Linked DNA regions of Astyanax mexicanus. The protein of the gene in region 3 interacts with the protein of the main gene of each other region in a pairwise test. Links are inferred from orthologs where the notes say so. Each region holds a gene or a part of one and is shown on either strand. Other genes may lie near its edges.

Region 1 (8,063 bases), on a different chromosome or scaffold from region 3:
AACTGTTTATTTGTGTGAGTAAAGCGTTTCTGTTTATTTACAGCAAGCTTAAATTTCCAATATTTTCAACAGCGGTTAGCGGCAGCGCTAGTGCTCTGACACAGCTAGGCCTGAGTGCTTCGGGTTAGATCCAGGGCGCTATCAGCAAGCGGTTCGTCCCACGTAGCTTGTTTTAACACAGTAAACACGCAGACTACAGTCTGATATACTCGAGTACACTCACCTCTCAACTGCAAAAGAGCTAGCACTGTGGTTAGCAGCTAATGCTAATACTGCTCCAGTCTCTGCGCTGGAGAAACGTGACCAAAAACTCTTTTATAACTCTGTACTTCAGCTGAGTGGCTTTACTGCTCCTTAATACCTGACTGATAAAATTCAGCCCTGTTTTCCTTAAAACATCTTCTAATCTCTACTCATCTGAGTTTAATGGAGTTATTTCTAGTTCTCATCATACTAATCAACACCTGCTTTGGTAAATTGGTAAATCAGGTGAGCTGCTGACGGAACTGAACATAATATACACATGCTGGCTGAGGAGCATCCAGGAGAAATCTGGAATCTCTACACTTTGTTCTTCAGCTTGGCTCACAGGATATAACATACTCATAGTTAAAAATGAGAATTCCTTGTTACATTTTACTGTATTTGTGTTTATTTGCATCTGTTCAAATCATATGTGGTGCATTTTCAGGTAAAAACACACGTATTGCTGAGATAAATGGATTAGTTATGCACCAAGTTTGATTTGGTGCATAAAATCTTTTGCACAGTACTGTATATGTAGATTCACTGGTGGTTTTAGACAGCAATACAGTGTACATATACATTGTTCCTAAATGGTCTTCCTTCCTTCCTGTCTGTCTGTCTGTATAGTAGGCAGAGTCATCTCTAGTTTCTAGGTTCCCATCAGCACCACTGTGTCATCTCTACAACAGACCCTCACGTTTCAAAACAGTGAGTGAAGGACTTTGACTACAGTGACTATATTAAGCAGGAATTTGAAAAAGTTGATGGACTTCCCCTTTCATAGTTTTAAATAAACAGATGAGAAAAAGTCTGATTGTGAACACAATGCAATACACTGACCTTGTCTTACATAAGTGAATCTCCCACACATAAAACATCACATACAATAAAAGTCCTGCCAGAAAACCTCAAATTTTAAAGTCAGAAAGGATGGCATAAGGACGAAGGAACCTTCATTATTGATATCCAATATTATGGGCTGATTTGCAGTTCATGAGAAAGTGGGAGCAACCTTGATTTGCTTTTTTTGTTCAGACCAACCGAGCCAGAACCTGCACCTTCCCCACACAGCATGTTCTACCCAGATACAATCCTGCAGCTCGCCCTGGGACTAAACAATCCAACCAAAGCGTGGACAAGGACGAATTCTTGTCCTTTGAGTAATCTGATATGTCATCTTCAATGATGTCAGGAATACTGACTGTGGTCTATCAGCTCCCACATGCAGAGTGCTCTCTGATGCACCATGATTGGCCTAATGAGTGACATGTATAGGGCCCAATTTACATTTTGGAGAAAATTAAGAAGCCCTAAGTTCTGTCATTTGTCACACCAGAGGACATCTAGTGGTATATAGGGTTTTAAAGACCCCACATATATAGGCAATCACGGATTCTACATTCTTCATGCATGGTCACTACAAACAAACCCTTGTGTGTTCAGATGAGAACAGCATGGGTGTCAATTGAGAGGTTCTAAGCTCTGCATTGGTCATTCCAGAGGACATGCAATGATTTACAGAAGTTTTAGGGACCACAAAGATGTTGTCATTCACTAATCCATCAAGCATGGTCACAACTAACAAGCCAGTGTAATACAAAGATTAATGATGTCTGCAAACAGTCATGCAAGAGGACATGCAATGGTTTGTAGTGGTTTAGAGAACAGAAGCATGATTATTGAAGCATGGTCACCAAAAACCAGTGTGTGGTCAGAAAATAACAGTATGGGTGTCACTTAAGAAGCCCTACGCTCTGCCATTTGTCACACCAGAGGACATGCAATGGTTTACAAAAGTGTAGAGACCACAAAGGACTTGGCACTCACTGATCCATCAAGCATGGTCACCACTAACAAACCAGTGTATTACCAGACTAATGCAAACAGCAATGGTGTCAACTGAGAATCTATAAGTTCTGCAAACAGTCACACATGCAATGGTTTATACTGGTTAAGAGAACAGAAAGATATGATTATTGACTAATTCTTGAAGCATGGTCACCACAAACCAGTGTATGATCAGAATTTAACAGTATGGGTGTCATCTAAGAAGCCCTATATTCTGCCATTTGTCACACCAGAGGACATGCAATATTTTTATATGTTTATGTGTGGACAATATATGGACAATCTTTGATCCTTTAAGCATGATTACCACAAAGCAGGGTCTGATCACACTAGATCAGCATAAGTGTCCACTTAAAAACTTCAAGTTCTGTCATTTATCAATTGTGTTGCTTAACTATTAGTCACACCATAGGACAAACAATTGTTTACAGAGGTTTTAAAGCTTAAAGACACCACAAACAAACCGGTATGTGTTCAGAATAAAACAGCAAAAGTATGAATTAAGAAGCTCCACCTTGTTACACCAGTTGACATGTATTGTTTACAGAGGTTTGGAAGCCCCAAACATGTTGGCATTCACTGATCCTTCAAACATAGACACTAGAAAACTAGCTGGAAGATCACAGTGTCTATTGAGATGTTCTAAGCCTCTAAGCTATGTGTCACACCAGAGGACACATAATTGTTTACAGAGTTCTAGAGACCCTAAAGATATGGACATTTACTGATCCTTCAAGCATAAGCACCACAAAAGAACCAGCACAAACAGAATATAATTGAAAAGCTCCACATTCAGCCATTTGTCACACCAGAGGACATGTATATTGGTTTACAGAGGTTTGGAAGCCCTGGACATGATGGCATTCAATGATCCTTCAAACACAGACACTAGAACAGTGTCTATCAAGTAGTGATAGAAGCACTGAGAAGTTCTAGGTTCTAAGCTATGTGTCACACTAGAGGACATGCAGTGCTATTTAGAGGTTTAGCCCATTTTAACATCTCATAAGCCCAAAACTGGACCCTTGTCACCCCCAAAACATCAACAGTGAACACTAGTGCATGATGGGATGGGTGTGCATCATGCAGACACTCTTACAGCCCACCATGCAGAACCTGCAGCAAGCACAAACACAAGTGACCAAAACATGTTGTGATAAGCAGATGTGATAAATCACATTTGAATGCATATCACATTCACACACACACACACACACACACACACACACACACACACACAAACACACACACACACACACATACAGCTCCCTCTACAAACCTTCAACAACTTCTGAAAGTTCACCAGGACAGAGCAAAAAGTTCAGGAGTAAAGTTCCCCGCTCGTGCGCGCTTGCGGGCCAGCAGCATGCAGTAAAACACGTGTTTTAAGCAGAAAAGCTGAAGTTTTGCGGTACCTCGCGCGCCTCCTCCGCAGCTCCGCTCCTCTCAGCTCGAGCTGATCCGCTTTCGCCCAGAGACAGAGCGGCGCCGGCCGCATCACCCTCCGCACAAAACTACTCCAATCACTTCGCGGCATGGAGCGAGGTCCGGTTGCTTAGTTTCAATTCGAATGTTCCGTTCCACCTTAAAAAGTCAGTGTGTTGCTTGAACCTCCGCCGGGACGTCTGCATTAGAGCAGAGCTTATTTAAGGTGGAATTGGAAGTTAGGCTGGGAAGATCCTAATTTCTCTACTTTTTAACTTCTGTCGATTTCAAACAACAAACAATGATATATTATCTTAATAGAAACGTGTCCCTTAATAAAAAGCACCACTTGTCATGATAAGTACTAATTTTTGGAATTTTTGGAAATTTTAGATTAATATAATGTTAATTATTAATATAATATTAATTGCAAATATTCAGTATTATTGTCATTTTATCAAAACCATTGTATGTCACTGATACAATTATCATGGAATATCATAATAAGGCAAGCATGCATTACTTTAAATAACTTTATATTACTATAAAAATGGAGCAAAACAAAAAACAAAATGAATAAAATGATGTTTATAAACAAAGCAACATACCAGCTGATTCGTTTATGTTATTGTGATATTTTAACTTAATAAACACAATGGACAACAGCCAATAGTCACTGTCCAATATAATTTTTTTTTAGTTTACTACATAATTTGAATATACACACTGTCCCTCACACTGTGTCACAAATGCCTGATAAATGGTCCAAAAGGAATTCTCCAAAAATACCTGAAATTAACTCTTTTTACATAGACTTCTGTTGAAAGTTAAGAGATTTTACATCCCTCATGTAAAGTTGTTTTTCATTGGACAGCGATGATATTATTGTATAATGTAAATTTTTAAAAATTTCTACTTGTTTTTTACCATCTATTAAAATACTGAAACATTAAATGTAAATTTAATAATTAATAAAATTTTATCAGACTTTGTAAATGATTTAGCTGATTTAATTAAAACCTGCTACTAAATTATGACCGATATGAATTTATTGCACTGGATTATTGATCATAGGGTTGTAAGTTTGGCAGGTATAGCTAATAATATGTACATGAATAATATTTTTATTTAATGAACAGGCTTTTTGGTCTAAAGTTACCGAAGCAAAGCAGATTATTAAAGCTAATATACCTCTCAGAAAGTCTCTTACTATCAGTAAGTCTCACTGGTTTATAGTTTAGAAAAGTTTCTGCATGCAAATAAGCATTAGACAATTATTATTTTTCTGTATCTGTAAAAGTGTGATTATATGCTGTTTATCTCTCTATTCATCTTTTCATATAATGTGCTTTATTGTATATATCTGTCTACGCTGTGAGAAGACTGTAAACAGACTTTTGAATATTTCTAAACAGAGTGTAGATATATTCTGCATACTTTTACCTTGCTAGAAAAACCTGCTTAATTTTTTTTTAAATAGTTTAATACAGCTGTCATTTATAGCTGTCAAAAAAACATGATAAATGTGTCCACAAAAAGGGCCCAGAATGCTAGGAAAATTGTTTTACTTTTATATTATTTATTATTTTTTTTTCTTTAACACGATATTGATTGTTATTGTTGCTTTTAATTAATTTGTAAAATGATTATGGATTTATTTTATGGTATTATATTCATTCTAGTAATATGGCATGAGTCATATTTAACTATAATATGTTCTTATCTATAGGAACATCTTTTCACTTCATAAAATAAAGTTATAAACTCATAAAGGTATAAAAGTAATGAGAGAGTCTCAGAGTTTAATTTAAAGTCGGTTCTTATCAGGCCCGATATATCTCGTTAAAATAATACAGGCCGTGTAGTTTTGCTAAATAAAAAATAATAAATAAATAAAATGTGATTTTATGCGCATCTCGCGCGCGGGTCAGCACTCTGCGCGGGACTATTTTACTGTGCGGATCCGGCGGCGGAAGGAGACACCCGGCAGTGGGAGGTGGTGCTAGCGCGAGTGACGTCACGCGGTTGGCGACAGAATGTCTGAGTGAGGCGCGAGTAAGCTGCACGTGAATGTGAAATCTGGGAAAACACTGCGAGTGTGTGTGTGTGTGTGAGAGAGAGAGAGAGAGAGAGAGAGAGAGAGAGAGAGAGAGAGAGAGAGAGAGAGGCAGTGAGAGTGAGAGAGCGAGAGAGAGAAAGACAGTGAGTGAGAGACAGACAAAAAGAGAGTGAATAAGAGAGAAAAAGAGAGTCAGTGAGAGAGCAAGACAGACAGAGTGAGACAGTGAGTGTGAGAGAAATAAAAACAGATAAGACTGAGAGAGAGAATGAGAGCAAATGAGAGAGAGGGACAGCGAAAGAGAGAGACAGTGGATGAGAGAGTGAGAGTGTAAAAGAGACAGCCAATGAGAGAGAATAAAAAAGAGACAGAGAGAGAAAGACAGTACAGTCAATGAGAGAAAAACAGAGAAAGACAGATAAAGTGAAAGAGAGAGACAAAAAGTAAAAAGAGATAGAGACAGTGAAAGAGAGACAGAGAGAAAGAGAATGTGAAAGAGAAAGCCAATGAGAGAAAAACAGATACAGTGAAAGAGAGAGAAAGATAGAGACAGTAAAAAAGAGAGAAAGTAAAAGAAAGAAAGGAAGAGAGACAGTATCAGGTCTAATTAGAGCATGTGCATTCTGTTAGTAATTCTATGTGTTGGTTCTGCAGATCTTATTCTGGTTCTTATTCTGGTTTTACTGCAGTTGCTGGCAGTCTGTCAGATCAGAGCGGTCCTGATGAGAGCCAGTTTCATCATAACGTTTTTGATTATCTTTGTGACTGCACTTGAGGATACTTTCAAAGTTCTTTACATTTTTCGGATTGACTGACTCTCATTTCTTAAAGTATTTTTTTTTCTTTATTTATTTGATTAGTTTTTGCTTCTCGTAATATATATTATGAGAACATTACTCAAATAGAGCTATTCACTGTATACCTGTAACTCTACCTCTTCACTACTTTACAACTGATGCTCTCAAACACATTAAGAGACAAGAAATTCAAGTCATTAACTCTTGATGAGCACAGCTGTTAACTGAAAGCCTGAATTCCAGATGACTCACTAAAGAATTCCATGTTTTTCTACATATTTTATATGACTTTAGTATTAATCTACAATACAGAACATTTTATTTAAATGATGACAAACCTCTTAATTTGAGGTGTATCCAAACTTTTGACTGGTACTGGATACTCATTGCCATTGGCCAGGGCTTCGGTTTAGTTCAGACGTCCACAAACAGTGTTCCAGCACAGTCACAGTTCATTTATCAAAAGTGTTTTTCCTAAAGCTGTTCTACACAACTGAACGCTGTAATCACACACAGTTGGCCGAAACCCTCACACCAGGCTTTGGGGATGTAGATGGACAACAGCTGCAGTCACTTTTAGTCCGGACAGTTCAACTGCAGCAACCGCTGAACCAGACCCAGTTTAAATCTACCAGTAAGTGTAGACTAAACAGAATTTATAATTGCTATAAAAACTGATCACTGATATTATTATTATTATTATTATTATTATTATTCAGACAACACAATTTCTTAACAAAGTAGAGAACACTAAATGCAGCAGGGTGATGGACAGCCCAAAGTATTGAGTCTATTGTGCTTTTGTTGGAGTAACTGTCTCTACTCTGCAGGGAAGGGTTTCTTCTAGATTTTGGAGATTTGCTGTGAAGATCTGATTGCATACAATACAAAGAGCATACGTTAGGCCAGGATGTTAGAAGACTAATGATCCCACCTCATCCCAACTTTTCAACTAATTCCAAAAGTACTGGATGTAGTACCATCATTTCAGAGCACACTGTTCCTCTCTAGACGATGCCAGGCATTAGACATGGTGCAAATAGATTCATGCTTATCTCCTCCCAGGGGCGATTCTGGGAGCTGAGCACCCAACGAACCCAGACCGGCTTCAAAACAAAAGAAGGACCATAAATAAAATTGAGGAGTTTTTTCCAGGAGTGTCATATCAGAAGATTCAATTCAGACCAGAGACTGTAAAAAGACGGACGCTGTGTCGCCGTTCCCATTCATTTAATGAAAATGAAGCAAAATTTTTCCTCCATGTTGGCGATCCTGAAACCAGAGTCTGCGCAGTAGAGACCAGAGGAGGGTGAAAGACTGTGGAGAGACAGCCGTCTCATTTGAATAAACCCGCCCCTGAGGGTTATTGTAATATATATTGATTATATTGCATTATTCTATTGTTACATCATTTATTTTGTTTCATTAATACTATTTTAGACAAATTCATATCCTTGGTAGGGATTTACTTGGATTTCTTTTGTTGCGGTAGAATATTCTTCATATTAATAAAATTATGTTTTTTTTTTTCATACTGGCAAGATTATCGTTATTGCAGAAATACCTTGAAATATTGTGAAATATTGTGTCCCTAATCAACACTAATATAGACTTAAATGTCAAACTCTTTATACTGAGGAACTAAGCCATATATATTTATGAGTATGTTATCAGTAGATATGTCTTGT
Region 2 (8,345 bases), on a different chromosome or scaffold from region 3:
TTGCATGCTTTTTTAGTCATTTTGAGCTGTGTTAACTTACCTACACATTGTTGATTTAGCTAGTTTAACACTACCAAAGCTACTGTGCACTTTTTGCTTAAACATAACTGTGCTTAACCCTTTCAGACTGTGCATGCATTACAATGGACATCATGTATTTTCTTATATTTTTCAAACGTTTTGTTGCCTGTAACACTAACTGAGACACTAATTGTTTTTAAATCAGAATAGACTTAAAAGTTTATAAGCCAATGAAACAATAGCTCAGCCTTGATCACTGCACTGGAGAAAAAAAAAAAAAAACAGCACTAGAGCCAAAATTAAATAAACTAAAAGACCTCATTTAGAACACATTTTTTTCATGTTTGTTTATTTTAGTGTTTATTTTAAGGATGGCTTGTGAACAAAAAGGTCAATATCAAATCTAACATAAAATGTTAAGCACAGGCTTTCAATCCAATAGACATAAACCAAAAAAACAGTTACTTTATTGTAGTTAATTGGATTTCATTTAATGTTAATACAGATTTTATCTTATAATATATATAAAGAGTGTTCCTTTGTGCTATCATAAACTTTTCTGGGTGATTTGTGCTTTTTTATTTCGTTTTATTAGCTAAATAGATACGATGCACAAATGCTTATCTTGCACATCTGGAAGACATTTACTCAGGACACACAGGTTTGGTCCCTTATTCAGCTTATGATACTCAGGACAGGTATATATATAAAGCAAATACATAAAGACATAGAGATGTTTGCAAAAAAAAAATGCGGAAATGAAAATGAAACTAAACTAAAGAGACTTTTGTTTAGTTAGAGATTTAATGCATTTTTTTTTGTTATTATTATTATTATTATTATTATTATTATTATTATTATTATTATTAGATATGGCTTTTCTCACGCATTCTGACAAGTTAAAGTGTGATTAACTCATACAGCTGCACTGCTTGTACTATTAAACATCTAAAAATGGATTAGTGCTTATGATAAATTGATGAAAAAAACTGCATTATACTGCTTAAAAAAATCTGAAAATGTATATAAATAAATATACACACATATATAAATATAAATATTCTAATAACTATTAACTATCTTTAATTACGAGATGTTTGGATTTGTTTTGAGTTTGCTGCTTTACCTACCAATTATTGTCCTGATTACTTTTATCAGTATAAGCTATTGATTTTGACGAGTTTTAAATGAATAAACAATGAAATAAAACAGGATTTTTGGCCCTTTGAATCTTATTTGCATTACGTTGCTTACAATTCATACCCTTGCAGTGACTCTCCCCTTTAATTCTATTAGTATAAACTGATATTGATGATAGAGAAGTTGTGCTTATAATATTAAGATCAAAATGCAATAAAACAAGACTAAAAGCTAAATTAAAAAGCATGACTACATAATAGCAATATGTTCTACTACTAACAGTTAATTTTACTTAATAAAAATAACTTTTAAGGCTTAGTTTGTGTTGCACTAAGTTAGGAGCATCACTTTGCATGGATGTATGGTACTCTTGACTTCTATCAGTGTGACACAAAAATCTTGAGCTGAAAAATCTTGAGTTAAATAGCAGCAGAACAGCATGAGGCATTAATTCTTGAAGTGCTTATAAAAGAGAAGTGTTTAAGAATTGAGTGCACACCTTTTTTCCTGGCCTTATCTATTCTTTATCAGGCGATTGATGAAAGAGGACAGCAAAGGGATGTGACAGTGAGGGATGGAGGCTCGTCAATAATGGAGAGAGCTTGTTTTGGGAGCAGGTGGTGTTTTCTTTCTGCCTTAGTTAACGTTAGATAGATGTGTGAAGGGGGGGGCTTCAGTCACTAACTAATTAACTGCCAGCTAATTCATTCACTTAGCTAGTTAACTAAGTAAGTGTGAAGATGTTTAACTAGCTGTTTAACCGGTTTGTAGTAAAACGCAGCTCAGATTAAAACCAAGCTAGCCTACACCTGTATAAGTCCAAGTAGACGTTAGATGTTGATGACAACTGAAGTTAACGTTAAAACTCAATGCGATGCAATGCCAGCCACTCACTTCGTGTTTTGTGTTGTTCTTCTTCAGTTTACCTCTCTTTTCTATCATAAAACCATATCATAAAATAACTTTTATCAATAATATTAGACGTTAGACGTTATCAGCAACAGACGTTAACGCTCAATTTTGTTGAATTAACGATATATATATATATTTTTTTTTCTTCTCCAATGCTCTGAAACAGCGTTTATGTCCGATGTCAGAGTTTAATTGTTTGTAAACACTGACTGATTGACTGATACGTAGATTTAATATGGGTTTAACGTTTATACGTTTTATATGTGTTGCATGTATTAAACTTAAATATGTGCAAACATACAGTGTAGAAAGTTCAATTTTAATAATATTGACAACCATTACTATTATTATACTTATTATAATTTATATTATTTGTCGCAAGCACCTTTCTCATAAAAAACAAAAGCATAAACGTTTAATCAATGTAAGAATTTCAGCACGAACTGATGCATATGAGGCAGTTTCAAGTAACCTGCACGTTTTTTAATGTTTTAAATGTTTTACCAATAACAACTTAAAACTTCAGAAATTGAGTTTAAACGCAACCAAAGAGCAAAGTGCAACGTCAACTCAATATTCATTTCACCTTACACGTGCAAGTTAATGCTTAACTTGTGATTTTCAAAGCCTTAAAATAAACGTTGAATCAAAGTCATAATTTCAACTGATTAACTGACGCCTATGAAGCAAGCAGTTTTAAGTAACCCATTTAAACGTTGTTTAAATGTTAAACGTTTTTCCATCAGCATCTTAAAAACTCAACTACTTAACTGTAGTTAGGTTAAACGCAACCAAAGAGCAACGTCTATTCGATATTCTTTTTTTTACCGTACACCTGTAAGTTAATGAACGTTTAAAGTCCAGGCATCGTTTAACGATACCTTAGACGTTAGACGTTACCTGTAACAGAGGTAAACGCAAAAAAAGAAAAAAAACTTAACGTAAGCTTAACTAATGCTTCAACTAGACGTTTAGCCACTCACCTTTCGTTTTGCGTTGTTCTTTCTCGTTTTTCGCAGCTTTTTTCTCTTCTTTTCCCATCCAAAGCTGACCGGCTTCGTCTCGCCTCGCTTCCCACCTTGACAGCTTCGGAAAAGGCGAGAAAACTCCTCAAAATTAACTAAATTAACCAAAATAAATGAAAATATAGCCGCAGAATCGCGAGGAGTCCGTTAGAAAGCGACCGTTACTGGACGCCAACGGTCACTCGCGCGCGCTCAGTTCAAATTCAGTTCGAGCTCAGTTCAAAATCAGCAAAGTTCGGAGGCGCGCGGCGAGGCAGCGCGAGAAATGCGGGCAGCGCGGGACCTGTGGTCCGGGATAGAGCTGCCTGCGGGAGTGGGAGGGGGTGTTAGGGGACTGGAGGGGGGCGGAGGGGCAAGAAGAGGGGTGGGATGCGGGGGCAGGTATGAAAAAATGAACCGCCCCGTCTCCGCCTCGTGCCAGCTCTATCGCTCTCTCTCTCCTTCTCTCTCTAGACCTCACGCGTCTGCTCTCGCGCGTGCCCCACTTTGATCTATCTCGCTCGTGCTGCGCTATACTACTCTCTCCGGTGGTGTGATGTTGTTGTTGATTTCTTTCCCCACCCGTTTTCCACACAAAGCCCCGCCCACCTGTTCCGCGATTGGTCAGGAGTTTGTTCTCTCTGTTTTGTTTTGTTTTTTTAGAAAGAAAAACCAGGATGATTGACTAATTAATCAATCATAGCAATAACAGGGGCGGGGCTTACCTGATAGATAGATAGATAGATAGATAGATAGATAGATAGATAGATAGATAGATAGATAGATAGATAGATAGATAGATAGATTTATCTATGTAAGAAAGCACAGTAAAGAATATAAGACTATAAAAGATGCTAACTGAGAACAGCATGAAAATTAACTATACCTCATAAGATATAACTAAAAATAAATTTTTTTTTTTTTTTTTGATAAAAAAGTCCAGGATGATTGACTAATTAGTCAATCATTGCAATAGAGGGGCGTGGCTTACCTGAACATCGGGTGGAACAGATAGATAGATAGATAGATAGATAGATAGATAGATAGATAGATAGATAGATAGATAGATAGATAGATAGATAGATAGACAACAATCGTACAGTAAGATAGCACAATAAGGAATATAAGAATATAAGTAAAATGCAAATATATCTGAGTCTCTGCACAAATGATCTTCTGGTGCAGGTGTGATGGATCACAGTATAAACCAATAGGGAGTCGGAATGGTATATGTTTATACTTCTCTACATCCAGTCACAATCAGATTCACTCTATCTGGATGGAGAGATTTATCTGGATAGGGGTTTTATTGAAGGATGAGAAGCCGGAATGAAAACCAACTGAAATGAAATAGGAGTAACGAGAACAAAAAAGTTGTCTTAAAATATTTGTATTTTATTACTTCTCTACGATATATATCACAATTCAGGGCTTACGATGCCCCCAATGGATTAAATGTGATGTAATCCATCACAATTGGATAAACTGTATTTGATGGTACAATACAAGGAACATTGCTGCAAATTATGGCACATTCTAAAACTTGCATATATTTATCTTTTTCAGTGTTAGCCACGCCCCTCTACAATATATTACATCATATCATATATCTTCACAGCAATATTACACAGTTTTCAGCAGACATGATAGATAAGGAACTTTTGGACGAGAACATCAGAATACATGTGGGGAAACAAACCCGCGGGAAAACCGCACGCTTCAAGGAAAAGGGGCGTGGCCAAGAGGGCACACATTCACACCAAATCTTGCGTGATGAGTTTAACTCGGTTTAAATATTTAAATATTTAAATCCACTGCGCTGTCACTGACTTTCAGTGCAAAAATGCTGATTATTTCACGCAGTTACACAGTGCACAGGTGAGTGAGTGCAGATGTGAGCTTCAGCAGGTGTGTGTGTGTGTGTGTGTGTTATAACACCGTTGTGCTCCTACTGAACCAGAAACTGCTCATTTCTCAGCAGAGCAGAAAACCTACTACGAACAGGAAAGCAACGAGCAAATTAAAGCTGTAGCTTATTTTTCTAAAAGGGTCATTTTACTGACAAACTTTGTTATTATTTGGTTTAAAAATATTACAGTAAAATTTAAGTATTGTTTAAGATGCAATGAATAATTACTGAAGGGTTTGAGGTGGAGTTTTTATCATTTGTATTATATTTTATTTCATTTTTTATTTTATATATAGTATATATATATATATATATATATATATATATATATATATATATATATATATATATACAGACAACATTTCTTCCAAATTGTCATTTAGAGCATTTATTTGCAGAAAATAAGAAATGACTGAAATAAACAAAATAAAAAGATGCAGAACTTTCAGACCTCAAATAATGCAAAGAAACCAAATTCATATTCATACAATTTTAAGAGTTCAGAAATCAATATTTGGTGGAATAACCCTGGTTTTTAATCAAAGTTTTTATGCATCTTGGCATCATGTTCTCCTCCACCAGTCTTACACACTGCTTTTGGAAAAAAAAGCAAGTTCAGCTTGGTTTGATGACTCTGGAATACAATCTTCCCCCTGTATTCCAGAGGTTTTCAGTTTGGTAAAATCACAGAAACTCATCCTTTGTAAGTGGCTTTATATAGAGCAGAGAAAGAAAGAGGTAGTATTAAATATAAAAAGCACATTATATATTATTCTTTTTCATTTTCCTTTATCCTTTCTTTCTTACTTTTTAAAAATATTATTTATTTTTTAACTTTTGCTTATCTTGGTTATTTACTTATTAATAAATGCTCCGGTTCATTTATTTATTCATTTTTTGCAGTATGTGGCATTGTTTATTAATGTATTAATGTATTTGTCCATGAATATATCATTTATTTATTTATTTATTTATTTATTTATTCATTGAATTGAATGATTTATTTACGTACTTACTTGCTTATTCATTCATCAATTCATTTACTTGTGTAATTTATTCAGCTCCATATTTACTTATTTCGCATATATATAAATATATCATCATGCATTCATTTACCACCTATTTCTATAAATAGCATTTATTTATTTGTTTGTTTATTTGTTTGTTTGTTTGATCTCTATTTATATTTATTCACTTCAACAATTGCTTCCTCTTTACTGATGTGTTTATTTCCTTTATTTATTGCGGATAAATGCTGTGAGCTCGGAATGAAGCCTTTTCAGAAGTTGCAGTCCCCCTTCTCTCTCTCCCACACACACACACACACCTGTTGGTCAGCTCTCTAGGTTTCCGCTGCTTGTCTCCGTGCCGCAGTGAAGGGAACAAAAAACAAAACCCTCAACCCTCAAAAGCCCCCTCCTCACCATCCTCACCCCAGTTTCCCACTCACTCACCCCCACACCGACCCCCCGACCCACTGCTGCTGTGTAGGCTGAGCTTCATCCTGTGGAAACAGGGTGAGGTGGAGGTGCAGAGCGTCCAGCAGCAGCAGAAGCAGCAGCAGCAGAAACTGGGTCACTCTCACACCACTGCGAGGAGCATCTGTCCAAAACACACTTCAGCAGCAGCATCATACCTCACACCTCACACCTCTACATAACCTGAGAGTCCACTAATCAACCTCTCCTTCTCTCATTCTCCGTATTATAATGCAATATATTATTTTTATATAATTCATTGTAGATTTATTGTAAAGGGTGCATTCACTGCAAGTGTGTGAATTAAGCATAATTGCAATTGTTGCAAGTAGTAAAAAGTAGCAATAGTATATATTATATACTCGATATACAGCATATTTGCATTTTGTTTTTTGCAGTATATTGATATATTTAGTAAATGTTATTTATAACTTATCATCAGCATTGGTTCTTATCATCAGCTGACAAATGGATATATACTGTTATATATGTTCTAATTCATATAACTAATAAATTGACTCATTTTGAGTTACATTACCTCCCCCACTTTTTACCCATGCTCTAAACTCATACACCTGCCATGAAGCAGTAAAACATTTACTCAATATATCAATATACTGCACAATCCAAAATGCAAATATGGTGTATATAGAGTTTATAATATATACTATTTACTATTACTGCTTTTTACTATTTGCAAAAATTGCATATATGCTTAATTCACACACTTGCAGTGAATGCACCCTTTATTTCTATCAGCAATAAATCATATCAAAATAATGCAAAGCATAATAATAAAATGCATATATTGTACAAATTTATATATATATATATATATATCATTGCTGTCCATAAAAAAACAAGTATCTCCATTTTTGTCAGTTTTTAGTTTACTACATAATTTGAACAGACAAACTGTCCCTTAAACTGTGCCAAAATCTATTGATAAATGGACCAATAGAAATACTTTAAAATGACCTGAAATAAACTCTTTTTTTACATTGACTACCATTGAAAGTTTAAAGAGTTTTTTTATCTGTTCTGTAAAGTTGCTGTTTTGGAGATAATTGTTTTTCATTGGACAGTGACAATATATTATTTGTGCTATTTATTACATATTTTGACACTTTACTGCACCCTTTACTTCTATATATACATTTTTTTTCTTTGCACCAGGAGTGGCATAAAGTTATCCAAAAGCAGTGTGTAAGACTGGTGGAGGAGAACATGCATTAAAAACTAGGGTTATTCCACAAAATATTGATTTCTGAACTCTAAAACTCTAAAAGTTCAGAAATATGAACTGAACTGAACTGAAATGAATATGAACTTGTTTTCGCTCTGCATCTTTTTGGTTATTTCAGCCATTTCTCAATTTCTGCAAATAAACACTTTAAATGACGATATTTTTATTTGGAATTTGGGAGAAGCATTGTCTGTAGTTTATAGAATAAAACTACAAGGTTCATTTTACTCAAACATAAACCTACAACAATTAAATACTACTACAAAGTCTTAATTATGGGACATTTTGCCCATTTTAAGGTGCAAAAATTATGTACAACTTGCATTTGTGCTTGATTTGCACCCTGCATTTCTATCAGTATGGTATCATATATCATGCATATTATATATATATATATATATATATATATATATATATATATATATATATATATATATATATATATATATATATATATATATATATATATATATTGTACACATATCTTACACAGTATTACAAATATATACCATTACTAATGTTTACTACTAGACATTTTTAATTATGGATTTCTAAGATCTAATCTTGCAATGATTCATACACTTGCAATCATTGCACCATTTTACTTGTATACTTTTGAAATGCAAAATAGATGT
Region 3 (8,538 bases):
TTAATGACATTGCTCAAACAAAAATGTAGTGCAAAATATCCATCACTAGCCCTATTTGTCCTTTGTATATTGACTGTTCTTTAGCCATCTACCTTTATTTCTGTCTTCTACTAGTGTATTTGCATATAATTGCAGTAACAAAGAAAACTGAGCTGTCATATCAAAGCATGTAAATGGAGGTGTGATTATCAGTGTTGCCGTATAGCTGTTAAAAGCTGCACCTTACACATTGTTAGGTTTAGAGGCGCTTTTAAAGATGCCTGGATTTGTTTTTGTGTATAAAAATAGCCTCTACTTCAAATGATCACATTTTAAGTTCCACTAGCTTTGATATTGTAATGCATTGTTGCTAACAGCAGAATCCAACCACCACATAAACTGACACTGAAAAGATGGTAAAATATTCACTTGAGTTAACTATAGGAAACTATAAGAAATAGTTTTTAACCTGAGTTCTCACAACAATTTTAAACAGTATTTTAAATGGTCAGATCACTGAATGAGCTCAGCTGTTCCATCAGAGAAGACTGAATTCTGATCATCATCACATGATTCGGTGTGCAGATAAATAGGTGAAAGATACAAGACCTGGTAATGACTAACCCAGTTTACCTCTGTCTTTCTCTCTCACTCGCTCACCCCTTCATGCCTTGCTCTAGTGGTTGGATAGCAACAGTGATGTTTTTCGGCACTAACGTGGGATCGGCTGTGGTTATGCTTTTCTCGGCTGTGCTGTTCACTGTAAACACAGTGTTCATGGGGCTGGTTCTTATCAGGGTAAGTCTAGTGCAAAGCATACTAAACTGCCTATATAAGACACACCTTAAAGGAATATTCCAGATCTTCATATAACTTATGGCCGTTAGTTAATTATAGATGTGTATGGACTTTTTTTTCCATTTTCTGAGAACTGTTAACATTGGCAGTTTTGAGTCAGCAGTTTTCAAATTCTTTTACTAGTTTTAAGAAAACGCATCAGACATAAACTAGGTAAAAAAAAATGCTTCTTTAGTGTGGTCTTTAGGACCACAGGACCCTGTTTATTCCACCTAATTTTCTCGCAAAGACAGATGTTGTAATGCATTTACACTGTATGTATAAACACTAGCATGCAGAAGAACGTTGAACTTGTCTTTTGAAGACTAAGAATGTTAGCGCAGGGAAATCAGCAAACTGGTATAGACTCAGCTCCCTGTTGCCTGTCATATTAAATAAATGAAGAAATTAATGCTATAATCATGTAATGTAATCTGATAACTTATTGTAACTTTTATAATATATGCAAGGATTAACTCTAGTATCAGAATTTATTTTTCTATTTTCCAAAAGCCTATGTAGTCCAAAATTAGGCTTACGGTAATTCCGTCTCAGAAATTGACCCTTATTGTATAAAGTCGCATCAAACAGTCCTGTGTCTACACAAAACAATCTGAGGTCCACATTAACAATTGTGTGTTCTTGTATAACAAATCTCCCATCTAATACACTCTCTTATAGAGTATAGTATTCTTTGTAATGAAAAACCTTTTAGAGGAATGTTTTTTTTTTAAGTACTCTGGTGGACATTAAGTTGGTTTCACACACTGTTGAACATAAAGTGTGGTAGTATATGGGATTCTAATTGGCTCTGGCTCTAAAACTAGCTTTTCAGAGATTCTGATTGTATCTGCTTCAGTTTGACTTACTGTCCCAACCCTGTTACATGTTTTTGCCATTTTTACCCAAACCTAATTGAATCATTGCATAATGTAAGTATCAAAAAGAGTGATAAATGTTGCATATTTTGATTTCTCTTTTCAGGTTCACCGGCTTTATCGTGGAGGAGGAGGCAGCTTCCAGCGTGCCCAAGAGGAATGGACCACCGGTGCTTGGAAGAGTGCCCCTGTGAGAGAAGCTGGCTTCAATGCCATCGCTGAGACTGGCCCAAGTCTTCCTCAGTACCCTGCTGCTGTGCCCAGTTATCCAGAAAGTGGACCATGGTGATGAACCATTCCAGACTCCAGGTGGAGCCAGAGTGCTCTATTTGTCCCCCTGCGTATAGCAGATATCTTAACTTCATGCCTCCACATGAATGACATAACAGTGAAACTGTGCAAGTCTAGAGAAAGGGGACTAAACATCCCGTATAGGAATCCATTGTACTTTTGTTTACAAATTACGTTGCCAAACCGGTTACACAATGACTTGTGCATATGTGAAAGAATGTAAGTAATGTTACTTGATAAAACAATCATGCAAATAAGGTACTGCTCACAATCAAGCCGTGGCAGCTTTAAAAAATTTCATTGGGACTGTGAAAACACTTTTAATTGCAGAATTGCTGAATTATAACACTACGGTTTTTTTTTTCACCAAGTGATTCCTTACACTACAGTAAGTGCACCCATTAACTGTGCAGCAGACCTTCTTTGACCTTTTGCTGAAAATGCTACATATTTTCAAGAAAAAAAACTGACACGAGTTAAAGGTGTTTAACTATATTTATCAAATACTGATATGACTGGCAGTAGCTAGACCTTTTATACATCAGAAATGTGCATAAGAATTGCATGCTTTTTATTTGCAGATAAGATTTTATTATATTTTTTTGTTCTCAGTGCCATGCCTTTTCTATCTGCTGCTTTGTGCCTGATCTTTAAAACTGACATGCGCCTTAATAGTCCTAGCATGTGCAAAGAATTATCTTTCCAGTTGCCTGAAGTTCTGCAGTTCCGTGAGTGGATATGGCCACGTCCATTTATGCAGAATTATTATTATTGCTATTATTATTTGCTCAGTGCAGTCAGCACTCTTCTTCTTCCTCCTAAATAACCATTACTTATGATTTCAGGCCCTGCTGTTGAAGTATACATTCCTTATGCCAATGTTTGTTCCAGCTCTCTTGTTTCAGTGTGTTCCTATTTGGAGCACCATGTTTACAGAGTGGCCATTTGAACCTGGGTTTTGAAATATTGTGAATTTAGTTGTTTTACTTTATTTTTATCTCTTGAATTTTCCATTTCATCTCTGGGCTCCATCTCATGTATAGTGATGACTAACATATGACTGTAAAATAAATGCATTGAGAAATGTATTATTGAGACAGCTAACTTAATAAAAACATTCCTTTTCAGATTGAATGTCTTTTTTGTAGTCTCTAATCAACAACATGTCCTAAAACAGGAAGGGGCAGTTTTCAGTCTCTTGTTATTTCTTGAATATTGATGACCGAGTTATAGTTTGCTAAACGTTAAACAGTACTTTTAACCATGAATTCTTTAGTGAATATTTAATCCTAACAGCTTTGGTCCAGCAAACACCTCTAAATAAGTAAAGTACTATCCTACAGAGCAGAATTTTGCTTATTATGGCAGAACTGTAGACAAGAAGACACCTGATACAGCATCAGCAATGTATCACCAGCTAGGATTACCTGGCAATAAATCTGGTGCTAAAAATGATTTCAGTTTTTGTTTAATGCAAAATGTACAAAACAAAGCAAGCACTAAATAAGTACTAATTATTTAAGTGTCATGAAACATGAGTATCATCACCGAATCAGTAATAATGAGTGTGACCTGGCAACCATGTAAACTCATGTAAGCAATCCTAAAGTCTTAAGATCTTAAAATAAAGGTATTAATGCCCAAAAGGCATATAAGAAGATAGCAAAGCTTTCTTATGGAACAATGTTAAAAGAAAGTTACATGACATAATTAAAATAATAAAAAGTTATGAAAACTAAGAACAAAAATAAAAGAAATAAAGTACTAAAAGTATGCAACGGAGATTAAGTTAAACTGTTGGGGAAGCCCAGGTAAACAGATATGTTTTCAGGTTACAGTCTGGACACATCTCACAGCTTCTGGGAGTTTATTAACAAAGTCAGCATAATGTCAAATACATCTCAATGGGCTCTCCTTGTTAAGAAAAACGTAATAAGAAAGATTTAGGTGATCAAAAATGATTTCGGTCATGTCCACATATAGTACAATAACTTGGTAACATAATTATTGTAACAGGCCTAACAACTGTATATAAAAAGAATGTGGTCTGTGAATGTCTCGCCAATTAAATAAAAACAGTAAAAATAAATATATTTAATGATAGCTGCCATTCAGCATTTTAATTATATTGATATTGTTGTACTTTAACCCCAGTATGCAGGAGAACAGAAGAACCACAACTAAAAAGTGTATTTAAAAGTGTATAAATAAAACACAGAGCAACTGCTCCCCCGCATGTCTGCACCAGGCCTCAACTGGTTCAGTCATGTCCTTCTTCTACACAGTGAACTGTTCCTAAGAGAGCCTGACATCAAACCAACAGAAATAAACACCACAGCTCTATCACACTGACTACAATTGTGAGTATATTGCAATGTATTATCACTTATCATTTCAGCAAGAAAAAAGAATGCTTACAGAAATTTTACCCCAGCCCTGAATAATTAACTATAATTGTAAGGGTAAGAATCTGGTGAAAATGTCTTTTTGATTGATTTGGATTTGAATTCCCTTAATATGTTCAATCCAGCTTTAAGAGGGTTTGCTTTTCTTATCAGACTAGTGGTGACAATTCATAGCCCTGATTCTTTTACCCCGCTCACTGTTCAACATTCCCTTTGCTCCCATCCCCCACCGCTCACACTCAACCAGTAAAACACGGCATGGAGTTGGGTGGGGAATGTGCACAATTGATTTTTCCATTCCATCTCCTAGTCCAGTCTTATTTCCTCGCTCCTGCTGATTAAACCATAAGTTCAATCTCATCTCAGTTTATGATAACAGCGTTTTATATTGCCGAAAGCATTCGTGGCCTTTTAAACGCGTTGGTGTGAAACAAGCAGGTAGAAATTAAACAAAAGCGTTTATTCCTGAATGTTGGGTCGCCAAAATCCCGACATGGATTTTCCCACGCGGGTCGGAGCCGGCGGAGCCACGCGCTCCCGTCCACTTCACGCTGAGCGTCCTCCGCCCGCTCTGAGCCTGGACTGAAAATACACCGGGCTTTCGCCCTCTCTCCAGACTATTAAAGCAGGCACGCCGGAGGATGAAATTCACACAGTGTTTGGACGGGTTTACAACAACCAGCGGCCTATGAGGACGGATAGACCTGCCTGCAAGTGCTCTTTTTTTAAAAGAGCGCTGTGACTTTAAACGCACGAAGCCACGCCTCGCTCCAGACAACACCGCCCACTTAGTGACGTTCAGGGCGCTGATTGGACGCGGCGGGCCGTCTCCGAAGGCGGTCGGCTCTTTTCATTGGTCTGCAGCTGCCGTTCGCCTGAGGACTCTCGCTGCTTTGTGAAGATGGCGGCCGAACTGGTAGAAGCGATGGTGAGTGGATGCGCGCTTTTGTTTTTCTTTGCGGGAAATAAAAGTGCTTTCCGGGAGCAAAGAGGAGCCGGTTGATGTTGGTTTCGGCAGCGGTGTGAGCGCTGAACAGCGTGTCACGGCGGTTTTATTCCCGCTCTTAGCCAGTGAACTGCGTTGGCAGTTGAGCAGGAGCTAAGCTGGTTAGCTAGCGGCTAACGTTAAATGAATGATGGGACTTCAAAACAGCTCAACTGACTGAGAACAGTAGCACTTTGCTCATACAAAACCTCGAGCTGAGGTCCGGGCTTAACTAAACATCCGCAGCTCCTGCTTAACAGGGCATTGGCGGGTCAGGCTGGTAGTCTGACAACTAGTATTAAAGCTGGGAAATGAGTGATCTGCTGCTCAGCTCATCCGGTGCCCCCTCCGCACTCGCAATAGCCTCCAGTAGCCGTTTAGCTAACCTAGCTAGCGTTAGCTAGCACACACTGTATGTACTACAGCAGCAGCAGCGTGTGTTTATGATGGGCTAACAGCTACCAAAGAGCTTCACAAGTAGACTGCTGAGTTGACTAAGACAGTTCATTAGTAGTGTTTTATGTATTATTGGTTTAGTAGGTTAACTGTGAACTATGAACACGGTGATCATGGTCATTTAGTGTAAACAGATGAAGCATTATGAAGGGCTTGCGTAGCTACAAACTGGCGGGTAAACCCTAGTTAGCTACTCGCTAGCTTAGCTAGGTTAGTATGAGATGATGTATGTAGGCTGGCATGGTGTTATGCTATTAGCTAGGTAGCTAATAGCTTTGATAGCTATCATAAACCGTTAATAATCTACTAATACTGTTATAAGCAAGCTATAAGACACGAGTTATATAGAAAGCTCTGGAATAAAGCTTCGTTGATTTTGCCAAATTAAAAAAAAACAGGAATATAATTAAGAGGAAGATGGATGATCACAAGCCATCAAACTATGCTGAACTGCTTGAATTTTTGCCCCAGGAGGAAATATTGATTTCTGAAAACATTGTAAATATAAACTTGTTTTCTTTGCATTATTTGAGGTTTGTCAATAGATTAAATATTTACTCACTAAATGTCAGTGCTTTCCACATGTTTACACCATACTGTTATTTAAATGACATTTATATCCGATGTACAGCTGTTTTCTTTTTTAAGTGATCAAAGGCATAATGGAAATAATTGTTAACTAATCGACTAATAAAAAAAATCATCAGATTATTTATAGACACTCTAACTGTGTTTACTCTTATTTTTCTTTTCTCTCTCCACGCCTGCTACTCCTCTGGTCAGAACATGGTGAAGAGTTTCCGGGTGTCTGACCTGCAGACACTGCTGGCCTCGATGGGGCGCAGTAAAAGCGGTCTAAAGCAGGACTTGGTGGGGAGAGCTTTGAGACTGGTGCAGACGGAATACAGCCCAGAGCTGCTGAAGAACGTCCGCCAGCTCTATGAGACACGCTTTCCCAAGTCGACTGGATGGTTGGCTGCCCGTCGCCCTGAGGGGGTCCCGGCAGTCTCCTACCCTACCCTAAACAACTCTCCTCGAGGCACAGCCCAGGGCACAGACTACCTCAATGGCATGCCCAAGCTGGCCGCACCGCCAGCAGCCGAAGTTAAATTAGTGCCCTTGCCCTTCTACCATAACTTAGAAACGTTGTTGCCACCTACAGAGCTAAGTAAGTCATGGTTTTGTTTTGGTTTGGTTTTCACGAATTGTCACTGGTTTTTTGTTGTTGGATGTGTTCATTGACCATTAGAGGTTGAAAGGCTGATGTTAGACTCTATTAAATCTTGCTATGCTTTGCAGTTGCCCAGAACAGTGAGAAACTTCAGGATAGTCAGTGTGTTTTTGAACTAACACAGGGCCAGGTGGACCAGATCCGAAATTCCGGGTGAGTAATAGCTGAAAAAGGGCAAATAGACATAAGTACCTTTTTATTATAGGTAGTTTGTTTTTAGTATTATCTGTGTTTCCACATCTATATCTTGTGTTTTTAAAAGAAATGCAAAACTGTTTTTGTGTTCTCAGTGAACTTCGTGCAGGGGTGAAATCAGTTCAGGTGGTTCTTAGGTGAGTCTGTTTTAATGTGTCTTTTTGTTTTGTTTCTTTATTTGTGTGCTATTGGATTATTGGACTGTGTAGATGTGTTGTTTTCAGTTCTAATTTTTTGAATATTCATCCTTTTTCGTCTTTTTCAGAATCTGTTACACAGACTCCATTGGTGTTCAGGAGGACCAGTACCCTCCGAATATTGCTGTCAAAGTGAATCAGTCCTACTGTCATGTCCCAGTAAGTGCATTCATGTCGGTTTCTTGAACTTGTAAATTCAGACCTAATGCACTTTACTTCTAACTCGCAGATTTAATTTGATTTGATTTGATTTGTGATTCATAACGGAAATTAAGAGAAGTCTTTTTTTTTTTTTTTACAGATTTTATTCAAAATAGTTTATCTATGCAATGTTTGCAAAAAAACATTTCTCTGGGATGATGTTTTTTCAGAATTTCTATTAAATATTTACCTTCGTCACCTGTCATTTCCAGGGTTATTATCCTTCAAATAAACCTGGTGTGGAACCTCGTCGGCCCTGTCGCCCTATAAACATCACACCCTGGCTTCATCTCTCCACAGCCACCAACAGAGTTACCATCACATGGGGTAACTTTGGAAAGGTAGATTGGCTTTTAACAATTTTATTCATATATTTCTTATATGTGAGTAGGCCGGTCACGAAAACGTAATTTTCAGGACGATATATTGTCCTATATTTATTGCGATAAACAATAAATTTGTCATTTTAAAGGGGGACTATATGAAATTCTTTTTTTTCGTGCTTCTGGCCTCCCAAAGGAACTGTGCCACAGTAATAAAATACTAGCACAATATTACTATTACACCATTTTACAGTGAAATTAACTTTTTATTAATAAGAACAGACATTGGGCTTCCAATATAGGTACAACCACTCTGGGACTCTGTGGGTTTTGAGAGAACTGCACTAAATATTAAACACTTTAAAAAAATAAAAATAAATAAATAAATAAAGTAACAAAAAATAGATTAAAGTAACATTTACATTAATTCAACTTTTTTTGAACACACTTTCAGATTCCTTTTTCTGATCATATACTGTATGTATATGCTATAAAACACACGTTAGCTCAAAAACACAAGTGTTTATATGATCAAAGACAGATAACTCAGCAGGCCACAG
Region 4 (7,883 bases), on a different chromosome or scaffold from region 3:
AAGTAAAACACTACGATAAAATATTGTAATATTGCGCATCTCTACGCTCGCAGCGATATCTCTCATTCTGATTTAGCTGGTCTTAATAAATATAATGTAATAAATAAATGTAATAAATGTTTTAAAATGCCTCTGAACTTCTAGGAGTATCAGATATGTTAATATATATATTTTAAAAGGCTAATTGAAGAATCTAAGAATCTAAATCACTACATAATAATCAACAATTTAGATATGGGTCATTATTTTAACAAAAACCTGTTTAAAAGTTTGCTGTTTTAAACGTTGGCTTTTCAATTTCCCAACTCTTTTAACTACAGACACATAAACTGACATATTATTTTTATTTTAAGCTCTAGAATGATAAAAAATAGCTACTGAATAATACAAAAAATATACACACATTAAGTAACTTCATCCACTTAAGTAAGTAAAGGGTCAGTATGTTGGCCTACATGTCGGATTCTTGCTTTTATAATTAAAGTTGAGCTACTAAATGATAAATAAAAGATTACAGATAATAATAAGTGAGAATAATGAGTAAGGAATGAGTGAATTTGTTAAATATTTAACTTTGTAAACGTAAATATAAGTATATAAGTCATTTTAGTTTCTCTTATGACTGAACAGTACATATATGTATTAAAACCTGCTATACTGAAACTGCTAACAAACAACATCCTTCATTTTACTGCTTTAAATCTCTTATATAATCAGATTTCATACTTTTAAGGCTTTAAATCATGACATTAGATCATCAGATCCATCATCAAGATGTCTGGGTTTGCTGCATAGTTCTAAATCCACCTGCGAGTGGAGTTAATAGTGATACTGAGGTCAGGAGACACGGCCGCCTCAAAGCCAAATGTCAACAGACTGACTGTCTGCACTCAGTCTGCACCTTTATAACAGCAGCTTCAGTCTATAAAAGCAGGGGAAATTAAATATGACTGTAGAAAAGACTGTATTCAATCAATCAGGGGTAATATATCCATTACATACATCAAAAACATAACAGATACATAACAAAAGGCTGTAATATGAACATATTAGATACTGAACTCTAGATACTGCCCTGTATAAGCTTAACTAAACATTAAGCTTGTACTGTAACTACATATGATTTAGAATAAAATAACATATAATCATATTATATAAACTGTATATATAGGTCAGCTAGATTTTCCTATAAATGGCAGGTCTATATATAGATATTAGACTTATTAATATATTACAGCAACACCTATAACATGTCAATAACATGCAATATAGTAGCTAAATGGGATATAAGCTATGGGGATAAAATTGTATTATAATATCATGATATACTTGAACATACACGTATAAAAATAAATAAAGTATTGTATTGTAAAACTACAATATATATGTTTTGTTTGTCATTAAGAAAGCTATAGGATAAATACATTATATGTCTATAAGTATAGATAAGTATATTTTGGAATGTTGTGCTATGTGATACTGATGACCTAGTTACACTGGATACTATAAGCTATAGCTATTGTAGCTATACAACTTTGTAAGACTGTATTATTATTATGTCAGACATGTATAAATAAAGGTAGTGTAATGCTGTAATATATAATACATAATGTCTTAAGTAGCTACACAGAATACTATCTATAAACTGTAGCTAAGTGTTTAAGACATATATTGCATATATTGTCAATACAGTGTATATAAGCTAGCTAGGTTATATACTGTATAACTAATTCTTATATATGATACATACAGTAAATATAAATAAGTGTAAATGATATACATCAAGTATATATTGTAGAATTGTACTATATAATACTGATGACCTAGTTACATTGAACACTATAAGCTATAGCTACTGTATAGCAGCTATATAACTGTGTAAGACTATAACTGTGTTTAAGCTGGCTATGTCAGGTTTGATGTTAGATAAGTGTATACCAGTATGTATATCTTAGCTAGTGTAAGGATGTGTGCATATAGGCTATAAGTTAGCTAAGTTAATGGTATACATTATTTAAAAAGGCATATAAAAAATATATATATATACATATATATATATATATATATATATATATATATATATATATATATATATATATAAAACATATAAGCTATGTAAAATACTATGCTACTACAACACAAATAGTGTAGATTAGTATATACTATAGCTATACAACTATAAATATATAAAAAATATATAAAATATATATATTTAATATATAGGCTTACCTAGCTCGCACAGTCTGCTCATGTGGTGCGGGTTGCAGCAGACGAGCTCCGGGTTCACCTTGCCGTAGGACTCGCAGCCCGGGAGCCGCTTGAGCTCGGCGCCATGCCGGAGGTCCGGCCAGCGGAAAACCTTGAAGAGAAGCAGCGGGAGGGAGTAGGACTGCTGTCCGAGTTTGGCGTCCACTTTGCCGGGCAGCAGCAGGCAGGGGCTCCGCGCCCCTCCCCGGGACTCCACCGCCTGCAGGAGCCCCTCCAGCTGCTTCTCCTTTATCCGCTTCAGCACCGAGTGGGTCAGCGCCTTCAGTTCGGCCTCGGAGCCGGGGCCGGCCTTATGTCCGGCGGCTGGCTTGCCCATGCAGCACCCGCTGGTTCCCCCGGATCCTCCGGTCGTTCCCCCCGATCCACCGCCGCTGCTGCCGCCGCCGCTGCCCGCCTCTCCGTCTTCGTCGACGGGCGCACGGCACCTCCAAAGTCGCCGCACAAGCCCCGAGCGTCTGCTCCTGAACATGCGGCACTGAGGGAGGGTTGCCCGGCTACACAGCGAGCATGGCGCCGTGCCCAGTGCATGAAGGTCCCGGGACGGCAGACAGGCCGAGAGGAGGCGGGAGAGGAGGCGGCAGCAGCAGAGGCTGTCTGTAGCATGCGCCAGACTTTACTCTTTAATAATTCTGCACAACTCACACGCGATGTAGCTGCATTAGCTACATGCATTCATACATATAAACACACACATACACACGTATAACGTATACATACACACTTAACGTAACCTAGCTAGCAGCTTCCACACTCATGCATACAAATATACACACACATATACACACACAAACGATAAGCTAAAACGCTCCAGGTTCTGGTTCTCAATGCACAGGTTCTGGATGAAAACATGAAAACATCCCATACAGGTCGCGCGCGAGACGTGTGCGTGCGTGAAGGTTTGAGATCCAGGCAGTTTAGTGAACGTTACATCCACACGGGTTTTTATCCACCAAAGCAGGGCGATAATAATGATAATAAACAAGAAAAAAAGCCTCGCAGATCCACAGACACAATCCACGGCCAGGCTGTGGGTCCAGAAACAGGGCGGAGATGATCAGCAGGCGCGCGCGCTTAACACTGGAATAATGACGCTGGACTGAAGCGCTACGGAGCTCCTCCGCGTCGTGTCGCGTCGGTTCCGTCCAGCAGAGCGATTGAAGTTCCCGAGCCCTGAAAGCACGCGCGAGGGAATGAAGGAGTGGAGGAGGAGAGCTGGAGCTTCCCCCACTCTCTCTCTCTCTCTCAGTCTCTCTCCCTCTCCGTCTCTCTCTCTCTCTCTCCATTGGCGCGCCTGCTGGTCACGTGCGTGTCTAGACACCATGTCGCTTTAAAAAAAGCGGATTGTATTGCGCAAACACGAGCTCCGGTAGCTTCAGAGCTTTACAGGCGCGCGCGCGGGGACTCTGCTCTCAGTCTCGCGCACAAAGTTTCAGATCAGATTAGATAGATCACACTCCCGGACACTCCTGATTATTGGGAACTGCTAATATTACCATACCCGATTATTATTACAATTACTACTATTGTTATTGTTATAATTACTGTTGCTATCGTTGTTACTATTGTCATTATTTTTTTATAATGTTTCTGTAAATATTTTAATTGATGGCTTACTATATGTTCGATTTTGTCATTATTTTTAAAACAGTCATGCTAATAAAGCAAACTTGAATTTTATTGAAAATGAATTGAGTAGTAATAAAATACAATATAATATAATAATAAATTGCATGTATATTGAATATGCATTCACACACAAATCGGTCAAAAGTTTTAGAACACCCCCCACTTTGTCCCTTTATTTTTGCCATTTAAGCTTTTTTAGGTCTGGTCAATAATCGGAAATGGTACAAAATTGAAAAAAGTATTTTTTGTATTAAAAAAAGAGAAATACATATTAGTATATTGTATAAATATTGCATATTAGTATATTGTATACATTAAAAATGTTTTTTTTATTATTATTACGAAAACAGAGGTTGACATCAATATGCACTTTAGCTTTATTGTCACATGTATACAAATATATATAGGTTATAAAAGTATAGTATAAAGCACGGTTACGAATAATAAAATGCTATTATTTCATATTCTAATCACTACTGATAGTATACCAGAAAATAAATTAAATAAACTAGTATGACTGTTATTACTGTGTGTGTGTGTGTGTGTGAGAGAGAGAGAGAGAGAGAGAGAGAGAGAGAGAGAGTGGATGGGAGGCCTGAGCTGAGGACATGCGCAGTGCTGCCGCCTTCTGGCTCAACCTGTTTCCTCTGCTCTCAGGCTCGCGCTCTCACTCAGCTGCGCGCGCTTCCGCGGGGCTTCACGGGGTCAGATCAACAGTCCTGACCCACTGACCCACCACCGCCCCCCTCCCCCAACACTGACCCCCCCACCCTGAACACCCCTCCAGCTCTATCAGTACTGAGACCAGCCTGACATTCAGGAGCCAGAAAACCTCATTACTGACCAGAATACTGACTCACCCCACCAGCTCACACCATCCAACACAGAGAGAGAGAGAGAGAGAGAGAGAGAGGGAAAAGAGTGAAAAAGTGATAGAGAGAGGGAAGAAAGTAAGATGAAAGTACAGAAAGAGAAAAGAAGAGGGAGAGGAAAACAGAGAGATGGCAATAGAGACAGAATAAAAGATAGATAGAAAGAAAGAGAGATAACCAGACAGATCAGAGAGATAAGAGAGAAAGAGAATAGAGATAGAAAGGGAGTCAATAAGTGAGAGAGAGAGATGGGAATAGAGAGGGGGATGTAAAAAGAGAGAGAGGCAGAGAAAGAAAGAGATTATGAGAGAGAAGGAGAATAGGGAGAGGAATATAAGGACATGGCAATAGAGAGAGAGAATAAATGAAAGAGAAAAAAGAAAGGAAGAGAGAATGAGAGAGATCTGAAAGAGAGAAAGGGAATGAAACAAGGGAGACAACAAAGAGAAATGACAGTAATGAAAGAATGAGAAAGCTAATGAAAGAGAGAGGAATAAGAAGAGATAGAAAGGGTAAGAAGGGAGAGAGAGAGAGGTAACATCTGGCTGTGAGAGAGATAGAGAAAGAGAGAAAGAGAGAGAGAGCTCCCTCTTTGTGTCCCTCAGACAGTTTGGTCATTTGGGTGCCAGTCTGTGTGGCTGCAGGGCAGAAAAGAGGAGGAGGAGGGTCATAATGATGATGATGATGATGGGCTGTGTGTGTGTGTGTGTATGTGTGTGTGTGGTGTGTGTGTGTGTGTGTGTGTGTGTAGAGGCGCCACTCTGCGGCTCAGTCTCTATTGTTCACGGATTCCTCACTGGCGCCGAGCTCGCGCTCTCAGCTGAAGGTAGTCTGGAGGAAGGAGAGCGTTTCCTGCGCTGTGATTGGCTAGTGCTCTGTCCTCTGTGCTGGGATTGGCTATTTACATTTGTTCTTTAATGGAATTGGCTAGATACTTTTCTTCAGTGCTGGGATTGGCTAATTACTTTTCTCCTGCACTAATATATTAAGTAATACGTTTTCTGCACCAGGATTGGCTGCTGCTCTAGTAATCACCTGTGCTGATATTGGTTAGATTGGCTGCATCCATTGCTGACACATATGTACAAATGCACACACACAGCTCCTCTAGTCTCTGTTCAACAGTACTGCCAATAGAATAAGAACCTTGGGGAAAAAAAAAATAATAATAAGCTATTGGCACGTCATTATTTATTCTATAGACGTTCTTGAGACATTTTATACTGGATATTTAAATGTTGAAAAATCGAAAAAATAAAAAATAAAATGCAATTATACTTATATAATGGTGTCAATCTCTTTAAAACATGAGTTAGTGTAAATAAAGTGCTTTTATGATTAAAAACACATTTTTACTGATGCCATATTTACATCACTAAACAAAGGGAAAGAGGGAGAAGAAAAAAGAAAGATGAGAATAGTGAGAGAGGAATAGAGAGAGAAAGAGAGAAGAAAGAGAGATGGGAAAACTGGTGAAATGAGTTTAAAAATAAAATAAGTAGATGAATAGATAGACTAATAAATACAAATAAAAAAATACTGTATTGCAAAATTAAATACCATTATTGAGACCACAATATTGATATTTTCTTACACCCCTACACACAACTTTCGAATTTTGGTGCGCTAAACTTCTGCACAGTACATATACATTAGCTCACAGACGCCCTGTGCTGATCCACATCACCCTAGGAGTGATGAGGGGAAAGAAGAGCACCACCCACTGTACTCTACCCACCCAGAGAGACAAGGATCTCTACTCAACTGTGCTCTCTCGGGGCTCCGGCAGCTGACAAGCTGCATGACTGGGATAAGTGGCTGTTAAAGTGGTCCTGTAGCTCTGGGATAGTTCCACCCTCAGCCTGACAGGCCTGCATGACCTTAGACGTCATCAGTGAGGTGCGGGTCAGGCTGCTTCCTGTGCCCTGTTCACACTTAGGTCACGTCTGAAGAGTAACGTTTCACCCAGCCCAGGTTTATTTTAGAGCTGCTTAATAATAGCACCTCTAAAATAGTGTTTACAGTCTAATTAGCATTAAAACTGAGCTTTAAAACTGCAATTCTGAGGTGTTTGAATGAGAGAAATCAGATTTATTTATATATACAGGTCTGAAAAAATGAAGAGATCACTTCAGTTTCTGAATCAGTTTCTCTGATTTTGCTATTTATAGGTTTATTTTTGAGTAAAATGAACATTGTTGTTTTATTCTATAAACTACAGACAACATTTCTCCCAAATTCCAAATAAAAATATTTTCATTTATTTACAGAAAATACTGAAATGACTGAAATAACAAAAAAAGACGCAAAGCTTTCAGACCTCAAATAATGCAAAGAAAACAAGTTCATATTCATAAAGTTTTAAGAGTTCAGAAATAATCAATATTTGGTGGAATAACCCTGGTTGGTTTTTAATCAGTTTTTTTCATCCATCTTGGCATCATGTTCTCCTCCACCAGTCTTACACACTGCTTTTGGATAACTTTATGCTGCTTTACTCCTGGTGTAAAAATTCAAGCAGTTCAGTTTGGTGGTTTAATGGCTTGTGATCATCCGTCTTCCTCTTGATTATATAAAATCAAAGAAACTCATAATTTTCAAGTAATCTCTTATTTTTATCTAGAGCTGAATATTGCGCTTTTTACAACTGATGTTGAAGTGCTTCACACTCCTCTACTTATCCCAGTAGGGCGTTTATATACATTATCTTTATGTTTTTTGGGGTTATATACTGTACGGGTTCCCCAATTCTTCTCCTGGTTGTCGGCGCTGTGAATACACGGTCATCAGGGACGGTGCACAAAATAAGACGTCACCCCTGAAGCTCGGCTGAGACCCTTGGCAGCTCTAAATGTCACGCTTTTCTCACTTGTTAAAGTGCTCTGTGTTCGAGGCTGGAGAGCAGACGCACCCCTGAGGACACATTTCCCAACTCTCAGAAATGTCAGCATAATGGCAGCGTGGAATATTTCCATAATCTCCATTTACATCTCATCCCAGAACACGCGGGTCCACGGCCTCCCCTAAAGCGCCTTAAGATTCCTGTAACATGGATCTGATTGAAGTCATATAGGACGTCATTGGACTATTGGGGAACAAGTATCATCAGAGCTAACA

Evidence for each region.
Region 1: the proteins of pias4a (region 3) and smad1 interact in a two-hybrid assay, tested with the Homo sapiens proteins (2 studies listed by BioGRID and IntAct). The link is inferred for Astyanax mexicanus from reciprocal best matches to the Homo sapiens genes PIAS4 and SMAD1.
Region 2: the proteins of pias4a (region 3) and DNA-binding protein SATB1 interact in a two-hybrid assay, tested with the Homo sapiens proteins (2 studies listed by BioGRID and IntAct). The link is inferred for Astyanax mexicanus from reciprocal best matches to the Homo sapiens genes PIAS4 and SATB1.
Region 4: the proteins of pias4a (region 3) and smad7 interact in a two-hybrid assay, tested with the Homo sapiens proteins (2 studies listed by BioGRID and IntAct). The link is inferred for Astyanax mexicanus from reciprocal best matches to the Homo sapiens genes PIAS4 and SMAD7.

Annotation. Positions count from the first base shown.
Region 1 is NC_064414.1:49,450,231-49,458,293, reverse strand, and holds the start of smad1 (mothers against decapentaplegic homolog 1), read right to left. Parts: upstream 3,600-8,063; 5' UTR 3,510-3,599; exon of another isoform or gene 3,374-3,509; intron 1-3,373. UniProt on the Homo sapiens protein: Transcriptional modulator that plays a role in various cellular processes, including embryonic development, cell differentiation, and tissue homeostasis.
Region 2 is NC_064408.1:119,012,891-119,021,235, forward strand, and holds the start of DNA-binding protein SATB1, read right to left. Parts: upstream 3,550-8,345; 5' UTR 3,057-3,549; intron 1-3,056. UniProt on the Homo sapiens protein: Crucial silencing factor contributing to the initiation of X inactivation mediated by Xist RNA that occurs during embryogenesis and in lymphoma.
Region 3 is NC_064423.1:23,645,690-23,654,227, forward strand, and holds the start of pias4a (E3 SUMO-protein ligase PIAS4-A), read left to right. Parts: upstream 1-5,168; 5' UTR 5,169-5,291; coding exon 5,292-5,318; intron 5,319-6,614; coding exon 6,615-6,999; intron 7,000-7,130; coding exon 7,131-7,215; intron 7,216-7,352; coding exon 7,353-7,394; intron 7,395-7,522; coding exon 7,523-7,613; intron 7,614-7,867; coding exon 7,868-7,996; intron 7,997-8,538. Other genes in the region: scamp4 (secretory carrier-associated membrane protein 4), read left to right, coding at 660-777, 1,801-1,983.
Region 4 is NC_064424.1:46,993,043-47,000,925, forward strand, and holds the start of smad7 (mothers against decapentaplegic homolog 7), read right to left. Parts: upstream 3,515-7,883; 5' UTR 2,738-3,514; coding exon 2,230-2,737; intron 1-2,229. UniProt on the Homo sapiens protein: Antagonist of signaling by TGF-beta (transforming growth factor) type 1 receptor superfamily members; has been shown to inhibit TGF-beta (Transforming growth factor) and activin signaling by associating with their receptors thus preventing SMAD2 access.